4 linked regions of the Lonchura striata genome follow. The protein of the gene in region 1 interacts with the protein of each later gene in a pairwise test. Links are inferred from orthologs where the notes say so. Each region holds a gene or a part of one and is shown on either strand. Other genes may lie near its edges. The genes, in order: EGFR, PDGFRA, PIM1 and STAT2.

Evidence for each region.
Region 2: the proteins of EGFR (region 1) and PDGFRA interact in binary tests that used the Homo sapiens proteins (3 or more experiments, as listed by UniProt). The link is inferred for Lonchura striata from reciprocal best matches to the Homo sapiens genes EGFR and PDGFRA.
Region 3: the proteins of EGFR (region 1) and PIM1 interact in a protein complementation assay, tested with the Homo sapiens proteins (3 studies listed by BioGRID and IntAct, with this or other methods). The link is inferred for Lonchura striata from reciprocal best matches to the Homo sapiens genes EGFR and PIM1.
Region 4: the proteins of EGFR (region 1) and STAT2 interact in a protein complementation assay, tested with the Homo sapiens proteins (3 studies listed by BioGRID and IntAct, with this or other methods). The link is inferred for Lonchura striata from reciprocal best matches to the Homo sapiens genes EGFR and STAT2.

Annotation. Positions count from the first base shown.
Region 1 is NC_134603.1:105,542,103-105,549,378, reverse strand, and holds the start of EGFR (epidermal growth factor receptor), read left to right. Parts: upstream 1-4,042; 5' UTR 4,043-4,412; coding exon 4,413-4,518; intron 4,519-7,276. UniProt on the Homo sapiens protein: Receptor tyrosine kinase binding ligands of the EGF family and activating several signaling cascades to convert extracellular cues into appropriate cellular responses.
Region 2 is NC_134606.1:26,992,043-27,000,270, reverse strand, and holds the start of PDGFRA (platelet-derived growth factor receptor alpha), read right to left. Parts: upstream 3,034-8,228; 5' UTR 3,019-3,033; coding exon 3,004-3,018; intron 1,382-3,003; exon of another isoform or gene 1,160-1,381; intron 1-1,159. UniProt on the Homo sapiens protein: Tyrosine-protein kinase that acts as a cell-surface receptor for PDGFA, PDGFB and PDGFC and plays an essential role in the regulation of embryonic development, cell proliferation, survival and chemotaxis.
Region 3 is NC_134632.1:1,741,182-1,748,794, forward strand, and holds the start of PIM1 (serine/threonine-protein kinase pim-1), read left to right. Parts: upstream 1-4,550; coding exon 4,551-4,829; intron 4,830-4,918; coding exon 4,919-4,969; intron 4,970-5,301; coding exon 5,302-5,668; intron 5,669-6,276; coding exon 6,277-6,453; intron 6,454-6,672; coding exon 6,673-6,824; 3' UTR 6,825-7,613. UniProt on the Homo sapiens protein: Proto-oncogene with serine/threonine kinase activity involved in cell survival and cell proliferation and thus providing a selective advantage in tumorigenesis.
Region 4 is NC_134629.1:5,609,368-5,616,491, reverse strand, and holds the start of STAT2 (signal transducer and activator of transcription 2), read left to right. Parts: upstream 1-4,034; 5' UTR 4,035-4,069; intron 4,070-4,410; 5' UTR 4,411-5,011; intron 5,012-5,115; 5' UTR 5,116-5,116; coding exon 5,117-5,247; intron 5,248-5,354; coding exon 5,355-5,505; intron 5,506-5,581; coding exon 5,582-5,680; intron 5,681-5,767; coding exon 5,768-5,860; intron 5,861-5,941; coding exon 5,942-6,020; intron 6,021-6,112; coding exon 6,113-6,198; intron 6,199-6,276; coding exon 6,277-6,425; intron 6,426-6,500; coding exon 6,501-6,659; intron 6,660-7,124. Other genes in the region: protein timeless homolog, read left to right, coding at 16-134, 521-659, 738-777, 895-995, 1,132-1,253; APOF (apolipoprotein F), read left to right, coding at 1,852-2,733. UniProt on the Homo sapiens protein: Signal transducer and activator of transcription that mediates signaling by type I interferons (IFN-alpha and IFN-beta).

The sequences.
Region 1 (7,276 bases):
TCTTCTTTGTGGTGACCAGTGGTGACCAATGTCAGGACCTGAGGGACTGGCTTGGAGTTGTGTCAGGGAAGGTTTGGGGTTTTACCCCCAGAGGGTGGTTGGGCACTGAACAGGCTCCCCAGGGAAGTGGTCACAGCCCCAAGCCTGACACAGTTCAAGTAGTTTTTGGATAACACTCTCAGGCACATGGTGTGACTCTTGGGGTGTCCTGTGCAAGGCCAGGAGTTAGAATCAATGATCCTGATGCATTCCATCCAACTCAGCATATTCTGTGATTCTGTAAATAGTGTTAAGCGAGGAGAGAAAGATAATCTGTGTAAAAATCCATCTATTTTCATCGGGGACACTCTTCAGAAATAGCATGATCCAAGGTTTAAATAGAGCTCTTGAGTGATAACCCTAGCTCTACCACTAAAGCTCCGCCCAAGGCAAATTATTTTACATCTATAAAATGGAAATGATAGGTACTAACCTGCTTTACAGGAGATTTGCAAAGATAAATTACTTAATGTGTGTGCAATATTTTCAACATGCAAAGTGCCATAAAGGTCTATGAATTTTTATCTCAGCCCTTGCTTTAAAACCTGAGTGAGCACTCATAGAATACAAACTACAATGCAAAATACAATGTCAACAATCTCAAACAACATGCAAAATCTGAGCAAACCAGATTGTAAAACTCCGCTAATTTGTCTCCATTTCTTGTCTCTCAGTAAAAGGCCTGACTTTAAAACCACTTTCACCACTTATTTACAGAGAAGAACAGCATCACCATTGAGAAATGGTTGCTGATTAATTTTTTTGCGGGGCAAATGCTGACCCACTCTTGGTGGATAATGAAAAGCAACCTTTTTTTTTTTTTCATGTAAGGAAAGGATCCAGCAGCAGGGATTTTTTAACTCTTGAGAGGGTTTTGAAACTCTATTTTGTTTGGAGGAAATGTGGAAGGGATAGAAGAATTAATCCTGCTTTTTCCACTGATAGGGAAATCAGTTATTCATCCTCTTGCAGCTACTTCTCTCCATGTGTGGCAAAGTAACCAGCTCAGTGGAGCAGGCAAGTGGCGGTGAGTCAAATTTTGCAATCCAGAAGCATGTTCATGTGGAAAAATTACCAGATTACACCATCTTCACTTCACAGGTCAGCATGTTTATGCTTAATATATAGAAGACATGATACATATATATACACACACATACTATAAAGCAAGCAAATCAAAAGAAAGCTGAAGACAGATGTTGCATTTAGTATTTTCATTATGAACTGTCAATTGAAAAATTGGTGATCAAAAGGTTGGCCTTTGTTCCATAACCTTTGATCCATGCACACATGCAGCCAGCAATAAAATTTTGCAACATGAATATTGAATGCCCTTGGTAAAATTCATGTTTGCTTCAGAGGAATTACACCAAAGGCAGTCACTGGGTATGTGACCAGCTGTTTAGGGAAAATGTCATGTTTGAATTTAAACCATTTCAGAAATTGCTCAGTTGGTAAAAAAGGCCTGAAATTCCTGCCTGTGATAAGCTTCTCAAACTTTAGTCTTAGAGTTCCTTTATGTGTCTTGTGACCTTGTCAAGCAGAGTACAATGCCTCAAAAGTAACACATTTGTGCTCACAAAGGTGGGAGGACAGAATTTACAGCAGCTTGCTGTGCAGCCCCTTCTGCAGTACTGCACTGCCAGCAGCAGATGAGAGTCTCCTGTAGTGGGTATCTGAAGCCTGGGAAAAAGATTTAAAGGGGCATTTGCCTAGTCTCTCCTTGCTCACCATGTCAGCAATGAAGGAGGTGTTTAGTTAGTATCGAATACTTGAATTTATGTGTGTTTGTGTAAGGGCAGTACATGATGGAGGGTGAAGCAAGTATGAAATGTTCCTGCCCAGTATATCAAGTAGAATAACAAAAATTCTGCAAAACAAGTGTTTGTTCCTCAACATGTTAGGACAGGATTTGGACCAGTTTATCCACTGAATTCACATGCAAAAATGTTTTCTTTTTTCCCTATGTTTAGTTTGGTTTTCATTTGTCACTTTGAATCCTCTCTTTCTCTAAATTAAAAAAACCCTATTACCTTCTATATTGGTAGCTTGATACCCAGTGTGCATGTCTAGGGGCACTTTTTAACTTACCTGCAGAACTGATTTGAAGTCAATTTCTTGCTTGTCTTAATTGCATTTCCTTTATCATAAGGCAAGCTGTAATCATTAGTGTGTGCTGAGGATGCTCTGCAAATCTTCCCTCCCTAGAAGTTGATCTCTTTTTCCTAGGTTTCTCTCACTTTTAAAGATCCTCCTATTTGTCTAAATAAATGAAAAAGAACCACATACACATAGTGTATATGAAGTTGCACTGTGTGAGAATCTTTGAAATAAATTTGTACTAATATTGCATTGTAAGCTAAGGTTCTGCCCTCAGTTACAGCCATGAAACCAATCACATGAATAGAGCTTCTCGGATGTTGTTAATGTGTGAGTTTACTTCAAAGTACACCTTCCACATTATTTACAAAATATAATTGAACCAGAATGTCAGTTACAGAATGTGAAAGCAGTCTTGTAATGCAACTCATCTTAGTAAACGATTAAAGGCATGTGGCCAGGCATGTGCTAGGATGTGTAAATGGGATGGTAGTTTTCTATGCCTAGTTAGGAGAGCGGCTAGTTAAAGTATCAGAAAAAAAAAAAAAAAGATTTTTCAGAAGAATTTGAGTGGTAGGAGAAGGGTGATGGATCTCTCAAAGAAACATGCATAACAGAGAAAAGTCAAGGTACACTCAGTGACTATTTTGCAATCTATTGTGCTCCAGTACCCTGTGACAGACACAGACATTTAGCACGGAATTTCCCGAACCTCATGTCATTATTGGTTTTAGTGCCGGAGTTCCCACTTAATCACAGCAGTTTTAAGTCTTCATATCCTATTGACTGTGTAACCTAAGCCCTCAGAAGAGCCCTCAGAAGAAATTACCACCGGTATTCAGCAGGTTTGAGTGTTGAATCATGATCTACTCGGAGAAACTCCAACCCAGACAAATGGCACGTCTGTGTCTTATTTACATACCTGAGTGACAAGACAGTGTTTCCTCCCACTTTCCAGAGAAACAGCCTGTTAAAAAACCATAGGAATATTTTAATGAATCCTGAATAGCTTGGGTTTTCCTCTTGACGGAAAGGAGCACCATACTCTTTTGCTTAATGTCTGTGGATGTACTTGGAGCACCTCAGGAACACTTGTGTTATTTTGTGTTTATTAAGTAACTTGCTACGCGGAGCAAGGAGCACTTTCTCAGTGCTGGTGGCCGGGGAACAGAAGCGGTACGGGCAGACAGGGACCCTGTTACCCCTGTGCTAAATTCGCATTAAAACTGAGCTGTTTTATTCCACGCACACACTTGGCCTTACAAGTATTGGGAGTAAAATGACCTGAACGAGAGCAGGACTGTTCGCAGAGGCCAAGTGGGCTCCGCTGATCTCGGGGGGCAGAAATGGGGCCGGAGCCCCGGAGATGCGCCCCTGGGGAGTGGATCGAACCTCCGGAGCTGCTTCCCTGCTCCCGGTAAAGCGCCTCAGCTCTCCCTTGCCCGCACTGCTCCCACTGGAGCTGCGGGGGGACCGTTCTCCCTGAGGAACGGGACGGGACAGAGCTCCTGCTGCGACCTCCCCCGGGACACCCGCACTGCTGTAACCCTCTGCCCCTCCACGACTGCCGGGCGGGAGCACACGGGAAGGCAGAAGCTGCGTTAGCGCCACTCCGCTTTTTTGCGAGCTGTGCCGCAAATGCACGCTCGTGCCTCTGGCAGCTGCCGGGCAGAAACTGCCGGGAAGTAGAAAATCCGCACATACACACCCTGCCGAGCAAGGAGGAACGGCTAAACTGTCTCGTCCCCGCTTCCACCTACTCTCATCCTATATTCCGGGACAGGTGGGGGGCCCGCCTCTTCTCCACCTCGACGGGGCCGGCGCTGCCGGTCTCTCCTCCCCTCTCCTCCTTGCTCCCTCCCAATCCTCCTCCTCCTTGGCGTCCCCAGAGGGAGCCCCTGCGCTCCGCGACCGAGTGGAGAGCGCAGCCGGGCGCACCCCGTCCCACAGCCGGCTCCAGCCGCTCCGCAAGCCCTTGTGCACCGGCCGCCGCCTGTAGCAGGAGGAGCAGAGGTGGGAGGAGGAGGAGGAGGAGGAGAAGGAGGAGGAAGGCAGCAGCCCGTCCGCAGCGGGGCACGCACGTGTGCGCGCAGACCTCGACGGCCGCCCTCCAGCATGCTGCTCGGAGCCGCGCAGGGCAGAGCGCCGGAGAGGAGCTGATCGCTGCCGCGGGAGAAGAGCAGAGGGGAGCAGGAGCGGCTCCGCGGAACCATCCGTGCGCCCGTCCCGTCCGACCCGCAGCCACTGCGCCGAGGGAGCGGCGGTCCCGCAGCATGGGCGGCCGCAGCCCCCTCGCTGCCGCCGGGCCCCGCGGCGCCGCTGTCCTGGTGCTGCTGCTGGGGCGCCTCGCTCTCTGCCTTGCCGTGGAGGGAAAGAAAGGTAGGGGGCCGGGGGGAAGAGGGCAGCGGGGTCCCGCCGCCCTTTGCTAGCTGCGTACTGGGGGACCAGAGAGCCGGCGCTGCGGGCGGCTGCGTTCCGCGGCCTCCCGTGGGGAGAGGCGGAGGGAAAGTCCCAACTACTTATTTCCCTAAGAAAAAAAACAAATCAAAACAAAAAACCCACCCCAAAAACAGAGAGAGGGGAGAAACGGGGAGAAGACTAAACCTATAGCAGCGATCACGCAGCCCTGACTTCCTGATTCTTGGTTTATTTTCTTTTGTGGGGGTGGAGGAAATAAAAGGGAATAAGCCTTGGCACATCTCATCGGTTGTGCTTCTTTAGTGTTTCTTTTTTCTTCTTTCCCCCTTCCCACGTTTCCCAGTCACTCCCCGGAGAGCACTTCCCGGCTCAGCCCAGCACAGCCGCTCTCGGCTCCCTTGCACCGGGGCGGCGAGGAAAAGCCGCGGGGTTCCCGAGTAAGCGCCGCTCCGGTAACCCGCTGTCGCACTGACCCGGACACCTCCGCTTGTCCTGTTCAGAAATAGTCATAGTGATAATAGAAAAAAGTATACACCTGGGGAGGAGGTGACTGAAAAAAAGGGAAACTTTGTGTGGGTTCTGGTTATCAGAAAGAGGAGGGATTAATCCCTCCGTCCCGTCCCGTCCCGAGGCTGCCGGCGCTGCCAGCCCCGGCGCTGCCCGCCCGTGCCGGCGGTGCGTGGGAACAGCTCGGCGGGGCTGGCTGTGGGGCAGGGGCGTGGGGCTGCCGCGGGTGCTTGGGTTTTCCTTCTTCAGTGGAGAAGCTGTCTCAGAGGATGAGAAGCCGTTTCTGGCTGGTCAGACCCGTCGCATTTTCTCTGTGTGTGGTGTTCTCTTTTCTAAGTTTGGAGAGCAGGCCCCGGCTGCTGTTCCAGCCGGAGAGCAGTCCTCTTTATCTTGGAAATCTGCCAGCCAGAGGAAAAAATGCAGATTTGGGTGGTTTGGTTTTTCTTCTTTTTCCTTTCATTCTTTTTAAAGAAAAAGCGGGAGAACTATTAGTTTCTAGAAGCCACTGCATGGCTTAGAGCAACTTAAGAGTCTTTTGTGACTGTGAATGGTAAAGCCACCCTGAAAGTGAGGAACACCCCATCCAAAAGAACTAGTTGCACAACTTTTAAAAAGTGGAAAGATTCTCTTGTTCCAGAAATCAAGTTCATACCTGTTGTAGATGTAACATGGGCAGTTTTCTTTCCTGGTTTTCTTTTTATTTATTTATTTTTCCTCACTCTTTGAAGCTGGTGAGAAGTAAAGTGCCTCCCATCTGCTCTGCCTGTCTTTTGAGATGCATTCTCAGGTGCACATGCCCTGTATAATATATTAAGAGTGAGGAGAAATACCTTGTTTATAATGTTTAATTCTGTGTCTCATAAACTTAGGAGGTTGCCAGTTTTTTGAGGATTACTAAATCATCAACGGCTACATGATAAATCCAATAGAGGTTATTCTCAGGATGTTGTGTCCGCAAGTAACTGGGTCCTCTACCAGAGGAACTGAGCTGGATGCTCAGTGGCAGAGGTGGAAGCAGAAGATTTCTTCAGAAAGCATTAATCAATTGATTTGAGTTATTAGTTTCTCCCCACAGTTGAAGATAAGCAAGAAAATTATTCAGAGGCACAAAATGAAGCAGCATCTGAGAATTGAGTGTTACTGATTTGAAGCAACAGGTCCAGCAGGTAGTAGAGGATCAGTGTATGCTTGGGACTGCCTCCTTGGTCAAATGATAAGACCTAGCATCAGATTTCAGAAAAATGCTGAAAGGAAACTTGCTGTCATAAATATATGGAACACTTCTGCAAGTTCAAATCTCATGTGAAAAGACACTTCTTAAAACTTTGACCTGATTTGTTCTATTACCAAAATGACATGTCTTGAAAAAAAAAAAGATGCCTGGGCAGCTGTTAGAAGAACATCAGAATCAGCCTATAAAATCCAATCAACATAATGTTTGAATGGAAATTTAAATACAATTGTGTCTTCTCCCAAAATTGTAGAATTAATGTTCTTGAAGATGGATGAGAGAAACCTGTTTTTGTTGTAACACTGTAGTCATTAAGATACAAACAGAAGCCTAGTTGAACATATTCCAGAACCAAACAGCATTGCTCAAAAGTGAAGTACTCTCAGCACAGGGATCAATACCCACCTCTATATACCTGCTCTGATGTTGACCCATATTATGTGAAGCAGAATTAATCTGGATTTCCACTGATATATCCCGGGAGGCCTGCATTGTGGTACCTGAGATAAATACCTGTGATAGCTGGCATGCCACTTATGCTGGCTGCATTTGACCCGTGTCCTTTGTGTGACAGCGCTCGGTGACAGTGCTACGGTCCAGCAAATTGCTTTTTGTTGCTATATACTGGTTTTATATCTCTAGTTTTGATCTGTAGCTGCAGACATTGTGGGATGGGAGTGTGCAGCTCCGTGTCGGGAGTGTGCATACAGGCGTGCCAGGCGGCTCGGGAGCTGCCAGGGTGGACTGTGGTAGCTTTCTGTACCTGGAGTCTTATACAAAGGACTAAGTTCTTTAAGGGTATCCAAGTATTCATGTCCATGTGAAGTAAAACACTTTTGTCTAATATCCTGTGCAGTGTTTACGTGTGGGCTGTGTGTGTACTTATATTGAGTATTGTCTTGTAGTTTCTGCACTGTGTATTATTCCATGCTTACTTGTGACAGATGCCTACAAGTAGACATCTAGAGTCTTTGTGGATTG
Region 2 (8,228 bases), on another chromosome or scaffold:
CCCGGCACTGATGGGGGCCAGGGCATCGCTCCCGCCTCTGGTCCGCAGCCGCCTTCCCGACGGGGTGCGGACGAGCCCCGGGGGCTGGCGGCCGTGCCCTGGGACTGCTGCTGCCTTGCTAGATTTGTCGCTGCTGCTGCAGAAAAAGCCGTCCAAGTCCTGTTCTCTGGAACGGTTCCTGAGCTATGGGATCCGCGTCCAAAAATGTTGAGCAATGCCGTGGACAGCCAAAAAGCCATTTCCTACTTGCTCCTAGGACTTTTCCAGGGGACTCCAGCTTGGCAGAGGCTGGCAAGTTTGCAGCTCTGCGCTTGACAAAATCCAGAAGGTGGCCGCGAAGACTTTGCCCTTCCCGGGGTAGGAGGCAGTGGGGTCCAGCAGTCCGGCAGGGCATACGGCAGGGCTGGCACTCCCGTTGAGAGAGAAGCTGCAGGCTGGAAAGGCTCCAGGTACCAGCCCTGTCTAAATTCAGCATCCTCCCTTTCACCGAGACACTTTTTAAAAAAAAGACGGGGCGCGCAGGGATGGAGATCGGGTCGCCTTTCGGGGGTTGTATGCGTGCCTCCGCTCGGGATCTCGGGCATTTTAGGCTACCGGGCCAGGGGGAGCGAGGTGAGAAAGGGGATCTAAAGGAGGGAAGGTGATGAAAAACAAAGGGTGGGGGAAGGGACGGGAGAGCAGCGGGGTGAAGGAAGCGAGGGATGCGAGAAGAGAGGGAACCGCTTACTTGGTCGGTGCGCGTCCCCGCTTTCCCCCCTGGGGCGGGCACCGCCGCTGCCCGCGGAGCCCCGGCGGGTCGCTCCCGCCCCCGTGGCAGGAATGCGGCGCGGTGGCTGCCGCCGTCCCAATGTGTTTGTCATTAGCGCTGCCCGCGCTGCTCGCCGCCGCACCCCGACGGCCGGCGCGGCGCAGCGCTGCACCCCACTCCCCTCCGCGGGGTCGCCAGCGCCCACCGCCTGCGCCCCGCGGAAAGAAGACCTCCGCTCGGCTCGGAGCATCGGGGGAAAATAAAAAAAAAAAAAAAAAATTAAAAAAAAAACACGAAGAAAACCCCCAATAAATAAATAAAGAAAAACGGGAAAAAATAAACGAGGAGAAAACCGCGGGAGAAAAGGTGTAAAAAACGAAAAAGGTGGGGAAAATGCCCCGCACCTCTTACCTTCTCCTTTACAATCCGCAGCCCCAATCCTGCAGATTGTAAAACATCCAAAATATGTCCACGTCTTTTGTGACTTTCCCTGCTCAGCCGCGCTCTTTCCCTCCCGCTCGCCCTCCCTCCCGATCCGACTGTAATGGTCTCACAAACCGCGTCCCGTAATTGATTCAATGTTATAGACCATCCTTCCAAAACTAATCATTTGCTTTAAGTAAATAGCTGTCAGGAAATGAAGCCCCCCTCAGGCCCCTTCAGAATAAGAGCGTGCTGGCTCGCCCGGCGCCCCCAGCCCCGCGGCCGGAGGCGGGCGCGCCGGAGGGAGGCTCTTACGCAGGCAGGGGGGCCGTCCCTGCCTCCAGATTTCAGCAGCCTTGCAGGGGAGGGGGAGGTTGGCCATATGGCAGGGGCGAGGGGGAGGAAAGGGGGAAGCGGGGAGTTTTGCACTGCAGGGGGAGAAAATGAAAAAAAAAAAAAAAAAAAAAAAAAAAAGAAGAAGAAAAAAAATTACCCAAAAAACTTTCATGAAAACTCAAGAGTGCTCCCAAATTTCATGAATGAGTCTTCCCTCCTCAGACCCTCCAGGACGGTGGCTCGGGCGCCGCGCTCGATGTCCACGCTTACCGTGTGAGTTTATGGATGGGGAGTTTGATTTGGAAACGAATTCGCGGCTTCCTCGTGTCCTTTGTACACCGCTGCGCTCGGGTTTGGGCTAGAAAGCTGCACGGACGGCCGTGAGCCAGCCAGGACCAGAAGGCGCAGAGAGACAGGGGGAGAGACGAATCGCTAACATTTATGAATGAAAGACACAACGAAAGGTAACCTTCGCCAAGAGCCAGCCTCCCCAAAGCCCGCAGCTCCGACGGGACCGAGAACACTCTTCTCTTCGTCTCTGCCTTCGCTTTGCCCAGCTCAAACAGACCCCAGTAATAACCAAACCAGGGACACGACAAGAGCCGGAGGTGCCGGCAGAGGCGCGGGCAGCGCACGTCCGAGCCCGTCCTGTTTGAACACGCTCCAGACGGAGCTTTGATCCCCGCCGGGGAACCAGCACTGGGTATCTCTGCTCTGCTGGCCGTCGCTATCACTGGCGATAAGGGGTGGCCGAGGGAGCTGCCGGGGAGCTGCCCTCGCCGCCCTTTTGCTGCAGGCTTCGTGCGGAGCGAGGCGAGCGGGGCCAGCGGGGCGCGGCGATGCGGCGGCCGCGGGAGAGGGGGCAGTGCAGCCCCAGGAACGGAACGGCGAGGATGGAGCCGGTCCCTGCTCGCCGCCTGCCTTCTGGGGAGGGCACCAGCCCCACAGCTGTGTGCCGCGGCTTCTCCCCTTTCCTTCCTTCCCCAGTCCAGCACAACCACCACCCACACCTCTTTCTCCCATTTAGTATTAAACAAAAATTTCGTCTCGAAGTCAAGAGCCAGGACCCCGTGGTTTTTTTCTTTCCTAAGCGAGGGAGAGTTCAGCCTCTGAAACGAAGATGCCCTAAAGAGAATAGAGGCAGAAACGAGAACCAACTCCCAAGGATGCGCGCTCAGGGCTGAGGTACCCCTGTCTGGGCTCTCAAGGTTCCCGGCGGCGCTCCCGGCCCTTTGCACGCCCTCCACTAGTGCATCCTCGGCTCGGGTGAGTGCACAACCCCGCTATTGCTTCCACATGTTCCTCCAGGAAATCATCGGAGTCAGATCTATGAGCAGACCCTGGTCGGAATGCTAACAGGATACCGTAAAGCTTGTGAATAAACAACAGGCTCGCAGTGAGTCAAAAAGGCATGGAGGAAAGGAAAAAAAAAAAAAAAAAAAAAAGGCCAAACCAAACAAACAAACAACACAGGAGAAAAAAAACCCACACCGTACCCTGGAATTCTCCATCTGAGAGTGCGAGAGCACCCAGCATCCTGAACCCCTTAATTTGTAGGGGGAAATGCTTTATCATTACTTGGATCAGAGCTGCGGGCTCTCGCAAATTTAAACCCCTCAAAGATGAGCATCAACTGCCTATGCGCCGGGGCGATCCTGCAGGGCTCGGGCCGCGATGTTACCGGCGTGAGTGTATCTGGTTCAACACGCGGGGTGATTCCTGGCGAAATACCATCAGGATGGGATGTAATGCGAGAATTACTCTTTCGAAAAGAAAGGAGCAAAATGGAAGGGGAGGAGGCGCCTTCTGGTTGCAATTACCTGCCTCATTTGAATAATGCCTTTGTCACGATCATTATCGAGAGGTCGTTAACGGCTTCCACGTGGGATCTCACAAGACCCAGCCAAAAATAAAAATTTTAAACTAGGCGACTGGCAAGGCTGCCTGCTAGGCCAGTCTGGCCCTTCGGGCGGGGGCCCGACGGCTCTGCGGAAACAGTGGCGGAGGTGTACCGTCGCTCAGGCACCCTTCCGGGGAAAGCTTTCCCCGACGTAGCTTTCCCTTCCCCACGCCCGCCACCCCAGGAGCACCGAGCCGGCGGGAGCTGGGCTCTGCCCGCTCCTCCCTCAGGGAGAGGGATCCGGCGGTGCCTATGGATTGGTCCCGCGCTGGGGAGGTGGTAGTTAAAATAAACCCTCCAGGACGGCTGCTGAGCTCTGCCTCCCGCCCCGTGTGGTGCAGGGGGGTCCCGTCCACGGAGGCGAGGGGGACATGGGGTTAGCGAGAGGACAGGCTGGGGGTGGGGGATTTTTTACATCTCCCCTGTCCTCCCGCCTTCCCCTCCCCTGAAGGGCTGGAGCATAAAGCATCCCGTTAACGTGTGTTTATGTGGTACCAGATGGAAGCTGCACGTCTCAGACGAAGTGCGGCGCCCGTGCTAGAGCCGCTCTCGCCTGTTTATGCTGCCAACCTGCCCCCCGGGGTGGGCGGGTGTGTGTGTCCCCCTCCCCGGGCCCGCGGCGCCGTCAGAGTCCGGGCAGCGGGAGCACCGACGGCTCGGGTTATTGCGGGGCGGGTCTCTCCACTCTCAGACGCTTCCAGGGGGGCTGGGAGCCTTCGAGGCCCCTTTCCCCTCTCCCTCGCTCAGCATCCCCCTCCCTGGAGAAATCACAATTTGTTTCAAGTAATAAAGCGTTTCCTGCGGCTCTCTCCCAAGGGTGAGCCGGCAGCGGTTAACTGGTTAAGCCTATTGAACAATCTAATAGGTGGCTGGTGTGGCCACCAGCGGGACCGGGCAGGCGAGCGAGGGTGCCCCGGCCCGGGCTCCGCTGGAACACCCGCTGAGGGGCCGCAGCCTTTTGACTGGATGGGAAGGCTTGTCTGGGTTTAATTATCGTTACCCACGTTCAGCGGTGCACGGAGCAGTAGTCATCCTTTTTTTCCCTTTTAGAGCAGGAAGCCCCTGCGTGAAGAGCAGCTACAACCTGAAGCAGAGACCCCTCAACCCCTGAGAGAGGGAGAAAGCAGAGCAGCCTCACATCTGTGTTCACATCTATCGCCTAGGAAAGAGAGTACAGCGGTGAAGGCTGCCTCGCCTAGGAAGGCGAGCTAAGCTCGGAAACTCCAGGGGCCCGAGCCCCTTCGGGAAAAGTGTTCTGGCGGTGGGAGGGTCTTGTGTACATTTACAGTCCTGCCAGATTTTTAGATTTTTATTTATTTCCATCTTTCCACGAGTACAGATTCCCTCATTTTGTTTGTTCAACAAAATTTGGCTCTGAATAGCAGGGATCCCGTGTCACTGGGAGGACAGGCAGCCAGACAAAAAGAAATTAACTTTGCCCAGCCTGCCCTCCCTAGCCTTTATTTTTATTTGCCACATGGCTGTTCGAGGTAGTTCTCCGTACTATCGTTTTCCTTCCCCATGCCCGCCGTTTCCCCACCGAGGCCGCTGCTGCCACGACGTCGAGCTGTTTTGCTTTCATTGTTGCGTTTGGCTCTCGACATTAAAAGACGCCAAAAGAGCCGTGGACGCCTTATTCTTTAAAAAACAGACTGTTTTCCCTTTTGCTCCCGCCCTGACTTTTTTGACTGCGACAGAATAAACAGCCCGCTGTGGTCCAGAAGCAGGCTGGACGCAGTTCGGGGGCGAGGCCAAGCAGGGGGGAAAGGGGCTGGTACCCGCCTGGCCCTTCGCCGCGCCTGGCTCCGCGCCCCGCCCCGACCCCCGGGCGGGGAGCGCGGCCCCGGCCGAGCCGCCGCCCCGACGGGAGGGGAGGCAGCGCGGCCGGGGTGCCTGCAGCGCCGGCCGAGGGCGCGGGGCAGTGCCAGCGCCCCCGCGACACTAGAGGGCACCGGAGCCCGCGGGAGCGGCGGCCGAGCCCGGCGCGGCACCGCGCCCCGCCAGCCGCCGCTGCCTCTGCGCTTCATCACCGACCGGGCGGCTCGGAGAACATGGCGAGAGGCGCCGTCCCGGGAGCCTGATGGCTCCAGCCCTGTAGGGCCGGCCCGGACCCGCCTCAGCCGCTCGGGGGATGTGGCAAGCAAAGCAGAGAGATAAATTCCTCCCGTGCCACAAATGATAAGTTTTCCCTCTGAAATCAAAGGGTCGTCTGCTGATTCAGCCCAGGTTTGACTTCGGTTCGTAACTCCCGAGACCATTATCTCTGCCTTTGTTCTTTCGAGCTGCAGCAATTAATGGATTACAGCAGGACAAAACCACAGCCAGAGCAAGCTGCTTTCGTTCTGCAGCTATTTACTATTAGTACCAGCTTTGCTCCCCTCGGGCTACTGTGCTTGGGAACCCAGCCCTGAGTTCTGCACGGGGGAGCCGCATGGTATGGAGGCCACCCTGGATGTCGCGGCCGTGGTCACTGCGACACAGTGGGCATGTGCCAGCGTCCGCGTCTGTGTCGGTCCCCGCGTATGCCTGGGCTGCTCCCGTCCACCATACATTCCTACTGTGGGCACTGAAGAGCCAAGACAGGCTGAGCATCATAAAGTGTCAGACTGAGGAGAGAAACACATCTGTTACTGAGTACCCGGAACCCCCTTGTTCCAGGCAAGGGATGTCATTTTTCTGCTTCATCCAACAACAGGTTTTCTTCTGATACTTAGTGATAAATACACACCTTTGGGGTGATTTGCTGTGGAAATACTGGAGCTACAGCCAAGATTAATGAATTGTAATTAGGTTTCTAAAAGGATCCCTCTCTTCACCCGATCTTTCATGCTCCAAAATACCCCTGCAAACAAAACCTTGTCCCTCTATTTCTGTGGCATGGAGTGTTTCTGAACATGGATCTTCCCCATCCCAAGGACTGAGATGATGGAAAGGCATTAATGCTTCCTAAGAGCTTGCTGAATTGGGGTTTGTGTGGAGCCACCACTAAGAGTTGCAAGAGACAGCATCCATGTTGTTGAGTCAGCAAAAGGTTCCAGACCTGGAAGTAAATGTAGGCATTCCTCTTAGTCACTGAATTTGTTCAGTCATTTTACTCAAATTTACCAAGATTATGCTGGAGGTATGTCAGCAGGAGACATGAATCACAAGTTCATTCTTCTTGCAGCACTGTTTGTCCCCTGTACTCAAGGTTCTGTGGCCCTAATCAGTGATGGAAGGAATCAAGCAGGCACCAATCACACCTCAAGCCATTCAAAGAAGTAGCCAATGCCCATGTTCTCATTTTTCTTTCTTTAGTTCAGACACAGGAGAGACTGAAATATTGAAATGTCAAGGGAAACAGTTCCTCTCTTTTTTTTGTCTTCTCCAAAAGACTATTTGGCCTTTTTCTCCAAGATCAACTTGTTTTAGTCTGTACCTCATGTAATTTGCAGAGAGCATTTTCTGCCTCAGTTACATAATAATTTGCCTGTTTGTTGTTGACAATCCTTTAGAGAACTCAGTTATATGCACTCCTCTTGAGCAAGGTGGTCTTGGAGAGAGAAGTGAGAGTGTGAAATGAGAGGAAAATGCAGGTAAAGGTTCCTGTGGCCATGCATGTGAAGCTACAGTTCAGACTTTGACAGGAAAGCTCTGATGTGGCTCAAGAGCAGAGGATACAGCAGCATTTAGTTACATTATCATCCTTATACTGATGGCTTTTTTTAGCCAGATATTTTGCTTTTTAATCTAATTATCTTTTGAGAATGAGTATAATGTAGAAACTGGGCCAGATCCTGCTTTGTGTAAACCTGGTGTAACTAACTTCAAGGGAAACATTCCAGATTGAATCTGGTATAATTAAGATTAAAAACTGGCTCTGGAAGTCTTTTCTTTGGCAATAAAGTTAGAGAAGTTCTGCAAAGAAAAATAATTAAAACCAGGACTTTATTTCAGTGTTCTTTTAAATAACGTATGCTATAGACGCTTTGAAGGCATTTGTTCTCTATGACAGCAGTATTTTAAAACTTTCACTTAGGTTCCACTGACCAAGTTAACCCTTGACAAGCAACTCTGCTTAAAATGTTACGTACAGAAACTTTTAATTTTGCAGGACCCTGCCCAAACTAAAAACAAATTATATTAAAAAGATACGAGTGCTGCTGTGGCAGTTGCAGACTTCTGCTTGCTGTTGAAGTAATGAATTTCACTGTTCTAGCCACAACACAAGCACTGAAATAATTCTGAATTTACACCTTATTCAACATGGGGTTTTTTTATGGTGCACACCTTGTTACCTGTCTGCTAAGCTCAACACATTGAGAAGGAGCAATTGTCAGGTTCCTTAGTATCCCTGGAAAGCAACCTCTGCAAGGAGTTCCTAGAGGATTGCTGAAATACTATAAATTGCTACACAATTTTCTGTAAGAAAACCAGATTACATTTAACACTTTCTACGTCCACTGTCACTGCATTTGTTAGGCCCATGCCCGTCAGAGAAAATATGTCACCATAATTTGATTGCAGGTGATGAGAAGATGCTGATCAATTTTTGCTAGGTCTGGCTTTAAGCCCCAGTGAAATCACAAGGACATTTGTCATTCTCTTGGCTGGCCCCAGGTTTTCATCATGGATTAATCAGATGTCTCTTTAGGGCGTAGAGGAAAAGAAGGTGTGAAGGGGAAAGAGTAATTTCTCTTTGATTCCTTGTGGGATACAAAAAATATGTATTTGGAAAATGTATTTTACTCCTTTTAAGTGGGGTTAGCATGTAGGAGGAGTCAAATCTATTTTGTTATTTCAAAAGTACATGAATGTCAAGCATTGTCAGCCTTCTTTTTT
Region 3 (7,613 bases), on another chromosome or scaffold:
CGGGGAAGGGATGTGGGTGGCACATCCACCACCCCACCATCACCCCGGTGCATCCCACTTTCCCCTGCTGCTCTCGGCAGGAGGGTTTGCTTGTAAACAGCAGCCCCTGGGTAACACTTCTAATCCCTCTCTTGGCTATTATTCATCCCCAGCTAACCTTAAAGCCTCCCCCTTTTTCTCTGCGAGGCACCCCCAGAGCAGAGGAAATTCCTCAGCCCTGACGTGATGTGAAACACGAGCGGCTCGGCCCCAGCCGCCCCCTTCCCTGCCCCAACCTACCCGGGCCATTTCCCAACCCAGGTTTCCCTGTAGCATCCCACTCCCCCCTCCAACTCTTTTTTTTTTTTTCCTCTTTCTTTCCCCAACCACCCTTTTCTGCTTTAGACATTGTAACCCGAGAGGCTGGAAATGCAGCTCCTTTCATCTTCCATTTCCCACATCCTGAGAGTCTGGGGAGAAGGAGCCCACCCAGATGATGGAATCCCAAATATGCGGCTCCTTCCACCTCCCCGATCCCCTCCGCCGCCCCCCGTGAGGCTCTATTCACAAAGCAGATTAGCCATGCTGCCGCCTCCCCGCACACCTCGCCCCAAAAAGCCCGCGAAAAAGCCAACATACAAAAAAAAAACTCCAAAAAAACCCAAAACCACAAAAAAAAGGAAAAGAAAAAACAAACCAACCAAACAAAAAACAAATAAACAAACAAACAAACAAAAAAACAAACAACAAAAAAACCACAAAACAACAACAACAACAAAAACAAAACAAAAAACCCAAAAATTTACAATTATTAAGAAGAAATTGCCACGGCTGCTCCTGCCCAGGGAACAGGATGGGTCTCAGCATCTCCTGTCCCACTCTCAGGTCCCATCACTGTCCAGTGGGAGCTGACACCCAAAATCCTGGGACTGGGTGCTGGCTGAGGGGGTTTTTGGGGAGCTGCAGCAAAAAGTCCAGCCAGGATGTTTCTCCTCCCTGTGCCCCAGGATGTGGGGTGTGGCTCCCAAGCTGTCACCGCTGCCTTGTGGTCCCAGCTGGGTCTGGGGGGACCCTGAGGATGAGGAGGGGAGGGAAAGCAGCACCCTGTGCCTCAGTGGCTCCCAGCACTCATGATCCAAACCCACGGGAGCCCAGCCCTCCTCTCTCCCTCGGGGGGACACTGCACCCCGGGATCAGTCTCATCCTGAGGGATGTCCCCGACCCGCACTGCCACACGAGGAACACGCACACGTTTTATTGGATTCCACGTGTGAGACCCCAGAGCACCTTGCTGCGGCTGTGGGGTGACTTTGAGCACCCCGCGTGGCACACACTGCTGGGTGAGGGCAGTGCCCGCTGCCCGGCTTCTGCCACCGGGGATTGCTCACTGCGGGTAGGTGGGAACATCCTCACTCCCCAACTACCCTCAGGGCTCCCACTGCCAGGCTGGGAGAAGCCCTGGGTGGGCAAAGGGCTCGGTGCCCTCCTCGTGGGGGAGTGGGCATTGCTGAGATGCCTCAAATCCCCTTTTTCCGGGTTCTATCAGGGCCGGGTGCATCGGGAAGAGATGAGGAAGGGTTCGGGCTTCCCCCGGGGACCCGCAGGTCGGTGCCGGGCTTTGCCCCACGCCCTGGGCCAGCCGGTGACCGAGCCCGAGCCGCGGGAGCCGGGGGAGGCGCGGGAGCCACGGGCAGACTCAGCCAAGGTCACGCAGTGTCTCAAAGCTGCTGGTGGAGAGCCACGGTCCTCGTGTGCCACGGCGCTCCTGGCCCCGCATCCTCCTAATCCCGCATCCTCCTAATCCCGCATCTTCCCGGCCCCGCATCCTCTCGACCCTGCATCCTCCCAATCCCGCATCCTCCCGCTCCCGCATCCTCCTTGCCCCTGCATCTTCCCGGCCCCGCATCCTCCCAGCTCGGCATCCTCCCGGCTCCGTATCCTCCCGATCCCGCATCCTCCTGCTCCTGCATCCTCCCAGTCCCGCATCCTCCCAGTCCCGCATCCTCCCGGCCCCGCATCCGCCGGGGGATGCTCGCGGGGCTTCTCCCCGCGCTCCCGGCGGGGCATTGACCTTGCTGTTTTGTTCCAGGACATCAGTGCAAACCTGAATGCTAACCCCTCACCCCAGGCCTTCCTGGGGAGCCTCTCTCTCCTTGCTGGGTACCGCCCTGGCCCTCCCCGTTTTCACCCATTTGCTAATTGTGCTGGCGGGGAAGGCGAGGGGGAAGAAATACAAAAAGTAAACTGCGAAAGCAACACTGCAGCTCCAAGGGCCCAGCACAGCAATCAAGCGATAAAGCAGTAATTAAGCCTGATTATCATGCAAGGCAGCCCCGGTTAGACTGGAATGCCGCTGAAGAGCCTGAAAGCTGCCGGGATTGTTTGCAGGGCTCAGAACCGATCTTTTGATGTCTGCTGGGAGCTCCTCTCCCCCAGACCTGCCATCAGCTCCATATGCCACCCCAGGGTCCTGTCTCTCCCCAGGCATGGCCCTGTTTGGGTTTTTCCTCCTTGCAAGCCTCGCAGTCTCCTCTGGGCTGCAAACTGCTCCCCGAGGGCTCAGGGCAAGAACTGGGGCTGCTCCAGGGATGGACAGGGGCAGGACCCGCAGGACATCCCCGTGTCCCTGCAAGGGCAGGGCGTGCTGTGGATGTGGGCTGCTCCCCTGCACCCACCATCCTCGGCGGCTTTCGTGCCAGGGGAAGAGGGCTGGGCAAAGAAGGGATCCCCAGGGATGAGGGCCAAGTGGGTGAGAGCAACAGGATGGGGTTTGTTTCATTTCAGTTTGAATGTGTGACACATCCCCATGGCCTCGCCCGGGCTGGCAGGGGGAAGGTGAGCATGTGGAAAGGGCTGAGGGTGACTCCTGGCCCTGCTTTGGGGTCATTTCGGGAACAGGAATGCACCTGGGTGGGTTAATCTGGAAAGAGATGGATCTGGCCGGGAAGCGTGGCTGCCTCGCAGCTCCACGCGGCCAGGCCACGGAGCAGGGAGCTCCCCTCGGCTGCCAGGAGGGGTTTCCCCGGTCCAAGGGGACCCAACCCCTGCGTGCCAGCAGGAAGAGACGGCCGCTGACTCAGGGGCAAAGGAGCAGCTGGGCAGGTTTACGCACGAGGATGATTTGGGCCCCAGCTCATCCCGGTTGCAGGCCACGCTGCTCCCTCCGACGCTAATGAGCAGGTTTGGGCAGAGCTGCTTCTCCCGAGGAGTCAGGGACAGGCAGCCCCCGGGAAAGCCCGGCCGCTCCGGGCGAACGCTGTTTGTCAACAGGTTTCCAGGGCAGCTCCTTCGGTGCCTTTCATCATCCTGGCAAAGAATTTGATAATGAGTTCGGGGCCAAATGCTAAGTCACCTCATCCCACGGCTGAGCAGCGACTGGCAGAACCAGTTGTCCCAAATATGCCCTGGCGTCGGGTGGGAATAAGGCAGGAGAAAGGCGCTGCCTGCCCCTCTGCCCCACTCTCAGCTTGCATCACCTCGCATTGCAACAACGATATATTGAAAAAATTTTTAAATAATTATATATTTTAAACAAAGAGGAATGGAAGCGCTGCATCAGATTCTCCACACTTTTCCCTAAACAAAAATGTCACTTTCTGGGTAAAACGGAAGGTAGATTTTCCAGTTTTTGTTTGGCTCAGGTCCTGAAAGAGGATGTGTCACGTTCTGGGTAAATCTAAAAGCGGCAGTGGTGGTGGCGAGTCCTTCCCGGCCACTGCGAGGGTTGGGCCGCAGCTCCAAACCCCATTTTGGGGGTGCATCTTGGTTCTATTTAATCCTTTTTTTTTAACACTAAACGGGACAGGATCTCACAAGTATTTCCAGTAAACCCCATTCGATTTCATGCAATTCATCCCACAAGTATGTGTGGGATGCCAGGAACTCTTCGGTCTTGCTTAGGAGCAGGAGCCCAGATGGGCTTTGTCTGGAATAATTCAGCTCCCAGTGGCTGGAGCTCTTTGCTCTAAATGCTAATAGAGTGAGTAATCAGAGATCTCCATCCAGTAAATTATTTATCTTATCTCTGGAACTCGGGGAGGCATCTCAGCCAGCGACTTCTGCGGAAAAAAGACACGGTGGGGGGGGGGGGGGGGCGGGAACGTAAAAAATAAGGATGTTAGTGAGGAGTCCGCAGCTGGAAGGGCCACATGGCCACTGTTACTGGAAAGGGGAGAAGTTCGGGCGCAGGGGGTGCAGCGGCGGGGCGGCGCGGGGCGCGCCGGCCGCGGTTCGCGGGAAGCGCCAGCGGCGCGGCGGGGCGGGGCGGGGGCGGGGCCCCGTGACCGCGCGGCCCGCGCGCGCCGCCGCCGCGCCCGCCCCCCATTGGCCGCCGGGCGCCGGAGGGGGCGTGGCCCCGCGCCGCAGCCCCGCCTGTCGGGGCGTGCGGCCCCGCCCCCGGCCCCTGCGGCTCGCGGGGCCGGCAGGGGCCGCGCGCCACACGCGGCCGGGCCTCGCGCGGAGCGGCCGCTCGCGCGCGCTCCCCGCCCGCTCCCGCCCCGCGCGCGCCGCCCTCACAGCCCTGCCCTGCCCGGCGCGGAGCCGCAGGTGCCGCCGCCGGCCCCGCCACCGGGATGCTGCTCTCCAAAATCACCTCGCTGGCGCATCTCCGCTCCGGGACCGCCGGGGAGCTGCACCCCGCCAAGCTACAGCCAGGTCAGGGACGCCCGTCCCGGGGGTGCCCGTCCCGGCTCCGGGCCGGCCGGGGCAGCGGGCGGAGCGCTGACGGGCGGGTCTCGTCCACAGGGAAGGAGAAGGAGCCGCTGGAGCAGCTGTACCGGGTGGGCCCGTTGCTGGGGAGCGGCGGCTTCGGCAGCGTTTACTCGGGGATCCGCCTCTCGGACGGCGCCCCGGTAAGTGGCGGGGCCGGCGGCGGGCGGAGCAGGAGGGGGCTCGGCGGGGCGGGCGCCGAGCTCATGCCGCCGTTCCCCTTGGCTCGCAGGTGGCGATCAAACGCGTGGCCCGGGACCGCATCTCGCAGTGGGGCGAGCTGGTGAGTGAGCGCGGCCAGCGGGAGAACCCGAGGCGTGACGGGCGGGGATGAGCGGAGACGCGGGAGGGTGGAAACCGGGACGGCGCGGGGGGAGCGGCTGTGGGGTCACCGGGGGACGCGGCGCAGCCCGGGCCGGGGAATGCCTAGCGCCGATGGGGGCGGGCGGGAGGACACCGGGATGCCCAGGACCGATGGGAGCGGGCAGGGAGACACCGGAGCATCCCCTGGGCGGGGGGATGCCCGCGACCGGTGGGTGCGGGGATGGGGACACCAGGGCTTGCCGCGGGCGAGGCTCGCTGAGCCCCGCTGATGGCAGCGTGGTTTCCCCGCAGCCCAGCGGCAGCCGTGTGCCTCTGGAGATCGTGCTTCTGAACAAGGTGGGCTCTGGCTTCCACGGCGTCATCCAGCTCCTGGACTGGTTCGAGCTCCCGGACAGCTTCGTGGTGGTGATGGAGCGTCCGGAGTCGTCGCAGGACCTCTTTGACTTCATCACGGAGCGGGGGTTCCTGCCGGAGGAGATGGCGCGGGGGCTGTTCCGCCAGGTGCTGGAGGCCGTGCGGCACTGCAACAACTGCGGCGTCCTGCACCGCGACATCAAGGACGAGAACATCTTGCTCGACCTGGCCACGGGCGAGCTCAAGCTCATCGACTTCGGCTCCGGCACCTTCCTCAAGGACACGCTCTACACGCAGTTTGACGGTGAGCCCAAAGCCGGGTGCGCTCCCGGTGCCGGGCGTTGCGCGGCCGGGCCGGGCTCCGGAGGTTTCCCCGTGGCGGGGGGGGCGGCATGAATTCTGCAGCTGCTGCCAAGTTGCTGTTTGGCACGGGGAGGATGTTGTGAAACGGGAGCCGGCTCCCGGCCCTGCTGACAGCCTCCGTCACCCAGCCTGACTCGGGCTGGGGCGGGGGAAGCCAGCATGACAAAAACACTTTGGTTGTGGGGGAGCAGAGGGGGGGTTTGCAAAACGCGAGCACCAGCCGGGTTGCTTTACAGGTGCGGAAGGGCTGGGGCTTCTCCTCTCCCCTTGTTTGCCTTGGTTTATAATTTTAATTTTTTTTTTGCCATTGCGCGGAGGGGGGGAAAGGCGTGGTTTTTCCCCACCCGTAGGTGGGTTTTTTCCTCGCGTGTAACGGCCGGGCCTTCCCCGGGCCCTGCTGCCCTCTTCTGGCACCGGCGTTTCCCTTTTACAACCCAAAGTTTGTAAACAAGAGTCACGTGCTGGCGGGAAGGCGGGCGGGTCACGCCGGGTGCCAGCGACGCCCAGGGATGCTCGGGCGAGGGCTTGATGAGCTCCCGTGTCCCGCAGGAACGCGGGTGTACAGCCCCCCGGAGTGGATCCGCTTCCACCGCTACCACGGCCACTCAGCCACCATCTGGTCGCTGGGCGTCCTGCTCTACAACATGGTGTGTGGGGACGTCCCCTTCGAGCAGGACGAGGACATCATCCGGGGCCAGCTCTTCTTCCGACGGCGCATCTCTCTCGGTGGGTACCCGGCTCGGGGGTGATGGGCTGGGGGAGGCAGCAGGGAAGGGCCCTCATGTGCCCTGGGTGGCTGCAGGAGGTGGCACATGTGCTGCCAGCCTGCTCTGCTGCCAAGCACAGGGTGGATGGGGAGGGCTGGGCACAGCTCGGGCACTGGGCGGTGGCACAGGGTGGACGGGAGCCTGCTCTGACTGACCCTGCTGCTGCTGTCTCTGCCAGAGTGCCAGCACCTCATCAAGTGGTGCTTGTCCATGCGCCCCTCGGACAGGCCGTCGTTGGAAGACATTTTCAACCATTCTTGGCTGCAGGACATTCACCTGGAACCAGCTGAGATCCACCTGCACAGTTTGATCCAGGAGCCTGACAAGTAACAGCTGCATGCAGCTCCTGGTCATAAGAAGCAAAGAAAACCAGACTTTTTCATCTTGACCATAGCGATGAGCAAGGATCCTCAGATGTTCTCAGATGGGAACGTGCACATCTTGCCCTGGAGCTGGGCTGAGGACCTGCTCTTCCAAGTTCCAGTAGCCACCATCCAAGCCAGCTGTCCTGGACTCCATCTGAATGACTTTGTCTCTTCTGAGATTTTACCAATAATTTTTTTTTGACTGGTTTTGGAGGCTCTCAAGTGTCATCTTGACCTGCTGAATTGGATGACCTGACTGCAAGAAAAGCTTCAATGGGGGAAAACTGTGGGGAGGGCAGGGCCTGTGGCAAAGTGGCTGTCCCTTCTTACTGTCCCTTCTCCCTGTCCCCATGCTTGTGTGCCTTCTGTTTGATCTGAGCTGTACTGGAGGAAAGACTTGACTTTTCCTACAGTGCTGCTTTTCTGAGACTCGCCTGGGCCTATAGTTCCTTTACTCTTTTAAAAAAGGAAATAGGTGAGAAGATGCTTGGGAACCAAGTGGGTTATGCCTCGCCTCCTGTGCCTCCATCCCACACGGGTTTTCTGGGGTTCTTTGCTTCTCTGTGCCCTCACGAATGCACAAACAATGCAAACCAACAGCTGTAAATGTGTACATAGTTCTACAGGAGCAAAGCTTGATGTACAGTTGTGAATAGTGATAACATTTTGCCTTTTTTCTCATTTCCAGTTTTTGTTAATTTATTTTCATAAATTTGTTGTTTGTTTGTTTTTTAAAGGAAGTGTTCTAGCCGCT
Region 4 (7,124 bases), on another chromosome or scaffold:
GCGCTCCCGGCCCAGGCGTGTCCCACCCGGTGCCGCTGGTGCCGCTGACGGAGGAGAACGAGGATGCCATGGAGGACCGGCGCTTCCGGGCCCTGCTGCGGCAGCTGGGGCTGCGGCCCCCCGCCAGCGAGCAGGTGAGGTGCCCACCCGTCCCTGTCCCTATCCGTCCCTGTCCCCATCCATCCCTGTCCCCATCCATCCCTGTCCCCGTCCATCCCTGTCCCCATCCTCGTCCCCATCCATCCATGTCCCCATCCATCCTTGTCCCCATCCCCGTCCCCATTCATCCCTGTCCCCATTCATCCCTGTCCCCATCCCCATTCATTCCTGTCTCCTTCCCTGTCCCCATCCCCATCCCCATCCATCCCTGTCCCCATCCCCATCCATTCCTGTCCCCATCCCTGTCCCCATCCCCATCCATCCCTGTCTCCACCCATCCCTGTCCCCATCCCTGTCCCCATCCCTGTCCCCATCCCCTGGCTCCCAGCACAGCCCTGCCATGTCCCCCCTCTCTGCCCAGGAATCCTTCTGGCGCATCCCGGCCGCCCTCACCCCGCAGCAGCTCCGGCGTGCAGCCGCCTCCATCGCCCACCGGGGCCCCTCGGGGTCCCCCCCGGACCCGTCAGAGCCGCCCAGCTGCCCCCAGGACCCGGCTCCAGGTGAGGGGTGGGGCTGGGGGGGGTGTGGGACCCCCAGGTGTGGGGCTGGCTCTGAGCCCCCCTCCTTGTGCCCCTCAGCAGAGCCGCTACCGGCGGGGCTGGGATCAGACTCGGAGAGGTGAGAGCCGACTTCCCTTCTCCGTTTGTGGGGTCCTGGTTTGGGGGGGTCTTCTCCCTGCCTGGGGAGGGGATTTGGCCCCCCGCATGTGGGGCTGAGCGGTGCCACCCTCTGCAGCGAGGAGCCCGTCCCCGTCCCCAGCCCAGTGCAGCCGCGCACCAAGAGGCGCCGGGAGCTCGCCAGCGAGGACGAGGATGAGGATGGTGGTGGGAGCTCAGGTGGGTTCAGCCCCTCTGCTTGCTTCTGAGGGCTGAGGGTCCTCTAGGTGTCTGCTGGGTCGGGGTTCTGCTGTCCTTGTCCCCTTTACCACACCCCTGGGGGGCTCAGCCCTCTCCCCTCTCCATCCATCCACAGGCACCGAGCTGGCCCCACCAGCTCCCCGCTCCGAGGAGGATGAGGAGGAGGAAGAGGATCCACAGCCCCGGGGGAGGCGGAAGCGCATCCGCTGCTTGGAAGAGGAGGAGGAAGAGGATTGAGTGGCTTCCCATACCCTGCCGGTGCCCAGGCCTTGTGCTGTTTTCTGGGCTTTTTGCAGATTTTGTTGGATTTCTGCAGTTTTTCTAGGGTTTCTACAGGTTTTCTGGGGTTTCTGCAGATTTTCTTCTGCAGGTTTTGATGCTGTTTTTAAAGGCTGCACAAGCAACCAGTTTCTCCACCTTCCCCCACTTCCCCTGGTGTCACCATCTCCCTGTTTTACCCCAAGTTTCCTCTTTTTCCTCAGCTGTTGGGGTTTTTCTCCTTCCTAAAACTTTTTAAATCTGGACAGGGCCTAAATAAATAAAAGTGACTTTTGTCCTCCTTGGGTGTGTGCGGGTCTGCAGGGGGGCTGGGGGCTCGAGCCGCGCTGGGCTCAGGGAGCGCCGGGTCCCTGTCCCCGCGCCGGACGTGTCGCAACTCCCGGATAACAGCGGCTATAAAGCGGTCACGGGGCCGGCGCGGCCGCAGCGGCCGGACGGGGCAGGGACAGCGGCGAGCGGGTGAGCCGGGGCACGGGGGAGCCACGGGGGGCTGCGCCCGCGGGGCTCTGACGGGGCTTTGTCCTTCTCCCACCTCCACAGACCCAGAGCCGCCACCATGGCCCGCGTTCTGCTCTTCCTCCCGCTCCTCATCCTCAGCCGTGCCACGGCCGTGTCCATCATCACCCCTGGGCCGGCTGCCGGTCAGCGGGCGCTGCCGGCGCCGGCGGAGCCCGTCGCGCCGCGGGCACCGGGGGTGCCGTGCCAGACCCTTCTCCCCGACGCCCTGCCCGGCTTCTCGCGGCTGCCGCCGCTGCCCCGCGGCCTGGCCCGTGCCGCCCTGGCGCTGGCGCTGCGCGGGGCCGGCTGTGCCCCCCAGGCCGAGGCCGAGGCGCTGGAGCTGGCTCGGGAGCTGGGGACCCCCGCGGCCGCGGCGCTGCTGCGGGGGCTGGCGCGGGTACCGGGCGCCCGGGCGCCGCGGCCGCTGGCGCTGCTGCTGCTCAGCCTGGCACGGCCGGGGGGCTCCGCCTGCGTGGATCCCACCCAAGCCCGCAGCCCCGCGCCCGGCACGGAGCCCACGCCACGCTTGGGCCAGGCCGGCCGGGAGCTGGCGGGGGTCCGGCCGTGCCGCGGTGCCGCGCGGCGGCGGCGGGAGGACGAGGACGCCTGCAGCCCGGCGGGGGAGCGCGAAGCCCACCGGGTGCTGGACTGGGTGCCGGGAGTCAGCGTCTTCTACAACCTGGGCACCAGCGTCTACTTCGCCTTCCAGGGCTGCGAGGCCGTGGCGTCCACGCGGGCGCTGCAGGCCGCCGAGGAGCTGGGCTACGCCGGGCTGGCCGCGCTCACCGGGGGTCTGGGGGGTCCCGTGGCCTTGGGGGTGCAGCTGGGGCTGCAGCCGGGGCTCAAGGCCGGCGTGCGGGCGCTCGTCGGGTACTTCACCTCGGCCGGGGAGCCCGCGCCGGTGCCCACTGCCCACAGCGGCGCCGTGGTCATCGTCTGAATAAAGGCCACGTGTGGCAGCCGGCGCCGGGTCGCTGTTTGGGGCGGCTGGGGACGGATCGATGCGGGGTCACCCTGGCCTGGGGCAGCCGGACCTCGGGCACGTGGTGGCAGCTGGGCTGGGCCTGTCCCTGTGTCCCTCGGTGGCTCCGTGCCTGTCCCTAAAGCCCCACAGCCACTCAGTCCCCGTGGCCACACTGCCTGGTCCCTGTCCCCAGGGCTCGTTCCCTCTCTCCCTCCAGCCTCTCCCTGTCCACAGGGCTCGGTCCCTGTTATCTTGGCCTCCCCCTGTCCCCAGGGCTCTGTCCCCAGGGCTCTGTCCCCAGGGCTCTGTCCCTGTCATCTTGGCCTCTCCCTTCCCCAGGGCTCTATCCCTGTTCCTATAACCTGTTCCTATAGCTCCGTCCCTGTCCTTGCAGCCTGTCCCCCGGTCCCCTGTGTCCCTGTCCCGGTCCCCTGTGTCCCTGTCCCGGTCCCCCCGCCCATCCCGGTCCCCTCCCTCCCTGTCCCGGTCCCCTGTGTCCTGTTCCGGTCCCCTCCGTCCCTGTCCCGGTCCCCTCAGTCCCTGTCCCTGTCCCCCCCGTCCCTGTCCCGGTCCCCCCGCCCATCCCGGTCCCCTCCGTCCCTCTCCCTGTCCCGGTCCCCTGTGTCCTGTCCCGGTCCCCCCGTCCCTGTCCTGGTCCCCCCCGTCCCTGTCCCGGTCCCCCCGCCCATCCCAGTCCCCTCCGTCCCTGTCCCGGTCCCCCGGTCCCCCCCGTCCCTGTCCCGGTCCCCCCCAGTCCCTGTCCCGGTCCCCGGTGTCCCTGTCCCGGTCGCCCCCGTCCCTGTCCCGGTCCCCCCCGTCCCTGTCCCGGTCCCCCCCAGTCCCTGTCCCGGTCCCCGGTGTCCCTGTCCCGGTCCCCCCAGTCCCTGTCCCGGTCCCCCCCGTCCCTGTCCCGGTCCCCCCGCCCATCCCGGTCCCCCCGTCCCTGTCCCGGTCCCCCCGCCCATCCCGGTCCCCCCGTCCCTGTCCCGGTCCCCCCCGTCCCTGTCCCGGTCCCCCCGCCCATCCCGGTCCCCCCGTCCCTGTCCCGGTCCCCCCGCCCATCCCGCGCCGCCGCCGTTCCCGCCCCCGCTCCCCGCTGGCCCCGCCCACTGAGCCCGCCCATTGGTCACACCCATCCACTAGCCCCGCCCACTACGCCCCGCCCCGCGTGACGTAAATTTGGGGAAATGAACAAACGGGCCCAGAGGCGCCGCGCGCGGGGGCGGGGCCTCGGCGCCGCTCTCCGCCAATCAGCGAGCAGAGCTGGCAGGGGGCGTGGCCAGCCCGCCTTCCTGCTCCGGTGCCGGCGGAGGTGGGTCGGGGGTCCCGGGGCACTCCGGGGCGGGACACGGGCGGTTCTGGAGCCCGGGAGAGCCCGGGGAAGGGGGGCACAGGCCGGGGACCCCGGCTGGGGCACACAGAGCGTCCCCTGGAAGGCTGTCGCGCTGGGGCGGGGGGCGGTCAGGGACACCCATCCCACTGGGGGGGACCCGGGGGGCGCCCGAGGGGTCCCATGGGGGTCCGGTCTAGGGGGTCTCTGAGGAGGGGCCTGGGGTGGTGCAGAAGGGGGGCTGGGGGCCCTGCTGTGGGCGTTCTGTGCCCCCCGCCCCGGGTGGGGAGCCCCCCTCGGCTCAGCCCCTGCTCCCACCGCAGGACGCGGCTGCCGGTCCGCGGCCACCCCAGCGGGAGCTGCCGGGGCTGCGGCGGGGCAGGGGGACCCTCGGGACCACCCAGAACCCGAGCAGAGGGACCCTCGGAACCACCCAGAACCGAGCACAGGGACCCTCGGAACCACCCAGAACCTGAGCAGAGGGACCCTCGGAACCACCCAGAACCGAGCACAGGGACCCTCGGAACCACCCAGGACCCGAGCAGAGTGACCCTAGGGATCAGCCAGGACCGAGCAGGAGCTGAGGGACCCCCGGGACCACCCAGGACTGAGCAGAGGGACCCCAGGGACCGAGCAGGAGCTGAGGGACCCCTGGGAGCAGCCAGGACCGAGCAGGAGCAGAGGGATCCTCGGACCACCCAGAACCCGAGCACAGGGACCCTCGGGACCACCCAGAACCCGACAGAGGGACCCCCGGGACCACCCAGGACTGAGCAGAGGGACCCCAGGGACCGAGCAGGAGCAGAGGGACCCCCGGGACCACCCAGGACTGAGCAGAGGGACCCCCAGGACCACCCAGGACTGAGCAGAGGGACCCCAGGACCGAGCAGGAGCAGAGGGACCCCGGTCCTGTGCTGCAGGCAGGTACGTGGGGTGCAGCGGTGCCCACCTGGCGCCCGCGGGTGTTCCTCCGGTCCCGGCGCGGCCGGGGCACGGCCCGGGGCGCCGCTGAGCCGCTGTCCCCGCAGCATGGCGCAGTGGCAGGAGGTGCAGAGCTTGGCCAACACCTACCTGGAGCAGGTGCACCAGCTGTACGCGGGCTCGGCGCTGCCCATGGCCGTGCGGCAGTCCTTGGCCGCCTGGATCGAGAGCCAGAACTGGTACCGGGGGGGGGGATCCGGGGCTGGGGGCGGCTCCGGGGGGCACGGGCGGGGCCGTGCCCGTGCTGAGCCCGTGCTGAGCCCGTGCTGAGCCCGCGCTGCCGCAGGCGCCAGGCGGCCGAGCCGCTCTGCTCGCACGCCCGCATGCTGTTCCACTCCTTACTGGTGCTACTGGGAGAGCGCCTGGGCAGCCTGGGCTCGGACCGCGAGGATTTCATGCTGAAGCACAACCTGCGCAAAGCCCACCGCGACCTCCAGGTGGGCTCCAGGGCCGGGGGGGGCGCGGTGGGGAGGGGTCTCCGCGCCGCGCTGACCCCCCCAAGCCCCTCCGCAGGCCGAGTTCGAGGAGAAGCCGGAGACGTTCGCCAACCTGGTGGCCAACCTGCTGCAGGAGGAGCGGCGGATCCTGCGCCTGGGGCAGGCGGGGGGGCAGGTAGGGCAGGGCAGGGTCCCCCGCCTCACCCCACAGGCGCCGGGGGTCCCGCGGCCGCTGCCCCACACCCCGTGTCTCCCTGCCTAGGGGGGTTCGGCCCCCGCGCCCACCCCAGCCCCGGAGAACGGCCGGGAGCAGCAGATCCAGCAGCGCTTGGGCGACTTCCACAGGGCCCTGCAGGTAACCCCCCGCCACCCCCCGCGACCCCCGCCGAGCCCCCCGGGGGCTGCCCGGCCCCTCCTGACCCCCCTGTGTCCGCAGGAAGCCGAACGAGCCTTCAGGCACCTGGAGGATTTGCAGGATGCCTTTGACTTCTGCTTCAAGGTGCACTACCAGCCAGGTGAGCCCCACGCTGGGGAGATTGGGGGGTGGGCACTGCCCTGCGCCCCCTCCGAGCCCCCCAAAACCCTGAGCCCTCTCCCCTGCCCGCAGATGGGGAGAGGAACGGGGACCCCGAGTACATGCAGGAGCTGAAATCCCTCGAGGACAAACTGAAGAACCTGGACCAGCAGCGCAAGGTGAGGGGGGCTCGGGGCGGCCAGGCTGGGTTTTGGGGGGGCACCGTGCACCCCGCTGAGAGCCACGTCTCCCCCCAGGAGGTGCTGGCTCAGATGCAGCAGCTCCTGAGGCGCAGCGAGACGCTGCAGGAGCTGCTGCAGCAGGAGCTGGGGGACTGGCGGGCGCGGCAGCAGCGCCAGTGCATGGGGGGCCCCGGCGACACCAACCTGCGCCCGCTGGAGACCTGGTAGGGTTGGGGGGCTCGGGGGGCTCGGGGTGGGGGGCTGCAGCCGGACCCCTCCGAGCTCCCTGACCCCCGCAGGTTCACGGAGCTGGGCCAGGGGCTGTTCCAGCTGCGGCAGCTGCTGCGGGCGCTGGGCGACCTGCGGCAGAAGGTGACCTACGCCAGGGACCCGCTGGTGACAGAGACGCCCCTGCTGCAGCAGCGGCTGCAGGAGCAGCTCACGCACCTGCTCAGGAGGTGAGCTGGGCTCTGAGCGGCTGCGGCGCTGCCAGGAGGGTTCTGGGGGTGGAGATCAGGGAAAAATCCTCCCCACCAGGGTGGTTGAGCGCTGGGGAAGCTCTCCAGGGAGTGGTGACGGTCCCGAGGTTGTCAGAGCTCCGGGAGAGTTTGGACAACGCTCCCAGGCACAGGGTGGGATTTTTGGGGTGTCTGTGTAGGGCCTGGAGCTGGGGTCAAGGGTTCTGGTGGGTCCCTCGCAGCTCTGGGTGTAATTCAGGAGGTCGGGGGGGTCGGGGCAGTGCTCTCAGGGATTTTGGGGGAAAGTTTGTGGTGTCCTGTGCTGGGCTGGACTTTGATCCTGATGGGTCCCTTCCAGCTCTGGATGATTCGAGAGGTCAGGGAGAGGTTGGACAATGCTCTCAGGTGTTGGGATTTAGGGGTTTTGGGGGTGTCCTGGGACTCAGGGATTGCTGGGGGCCCCTT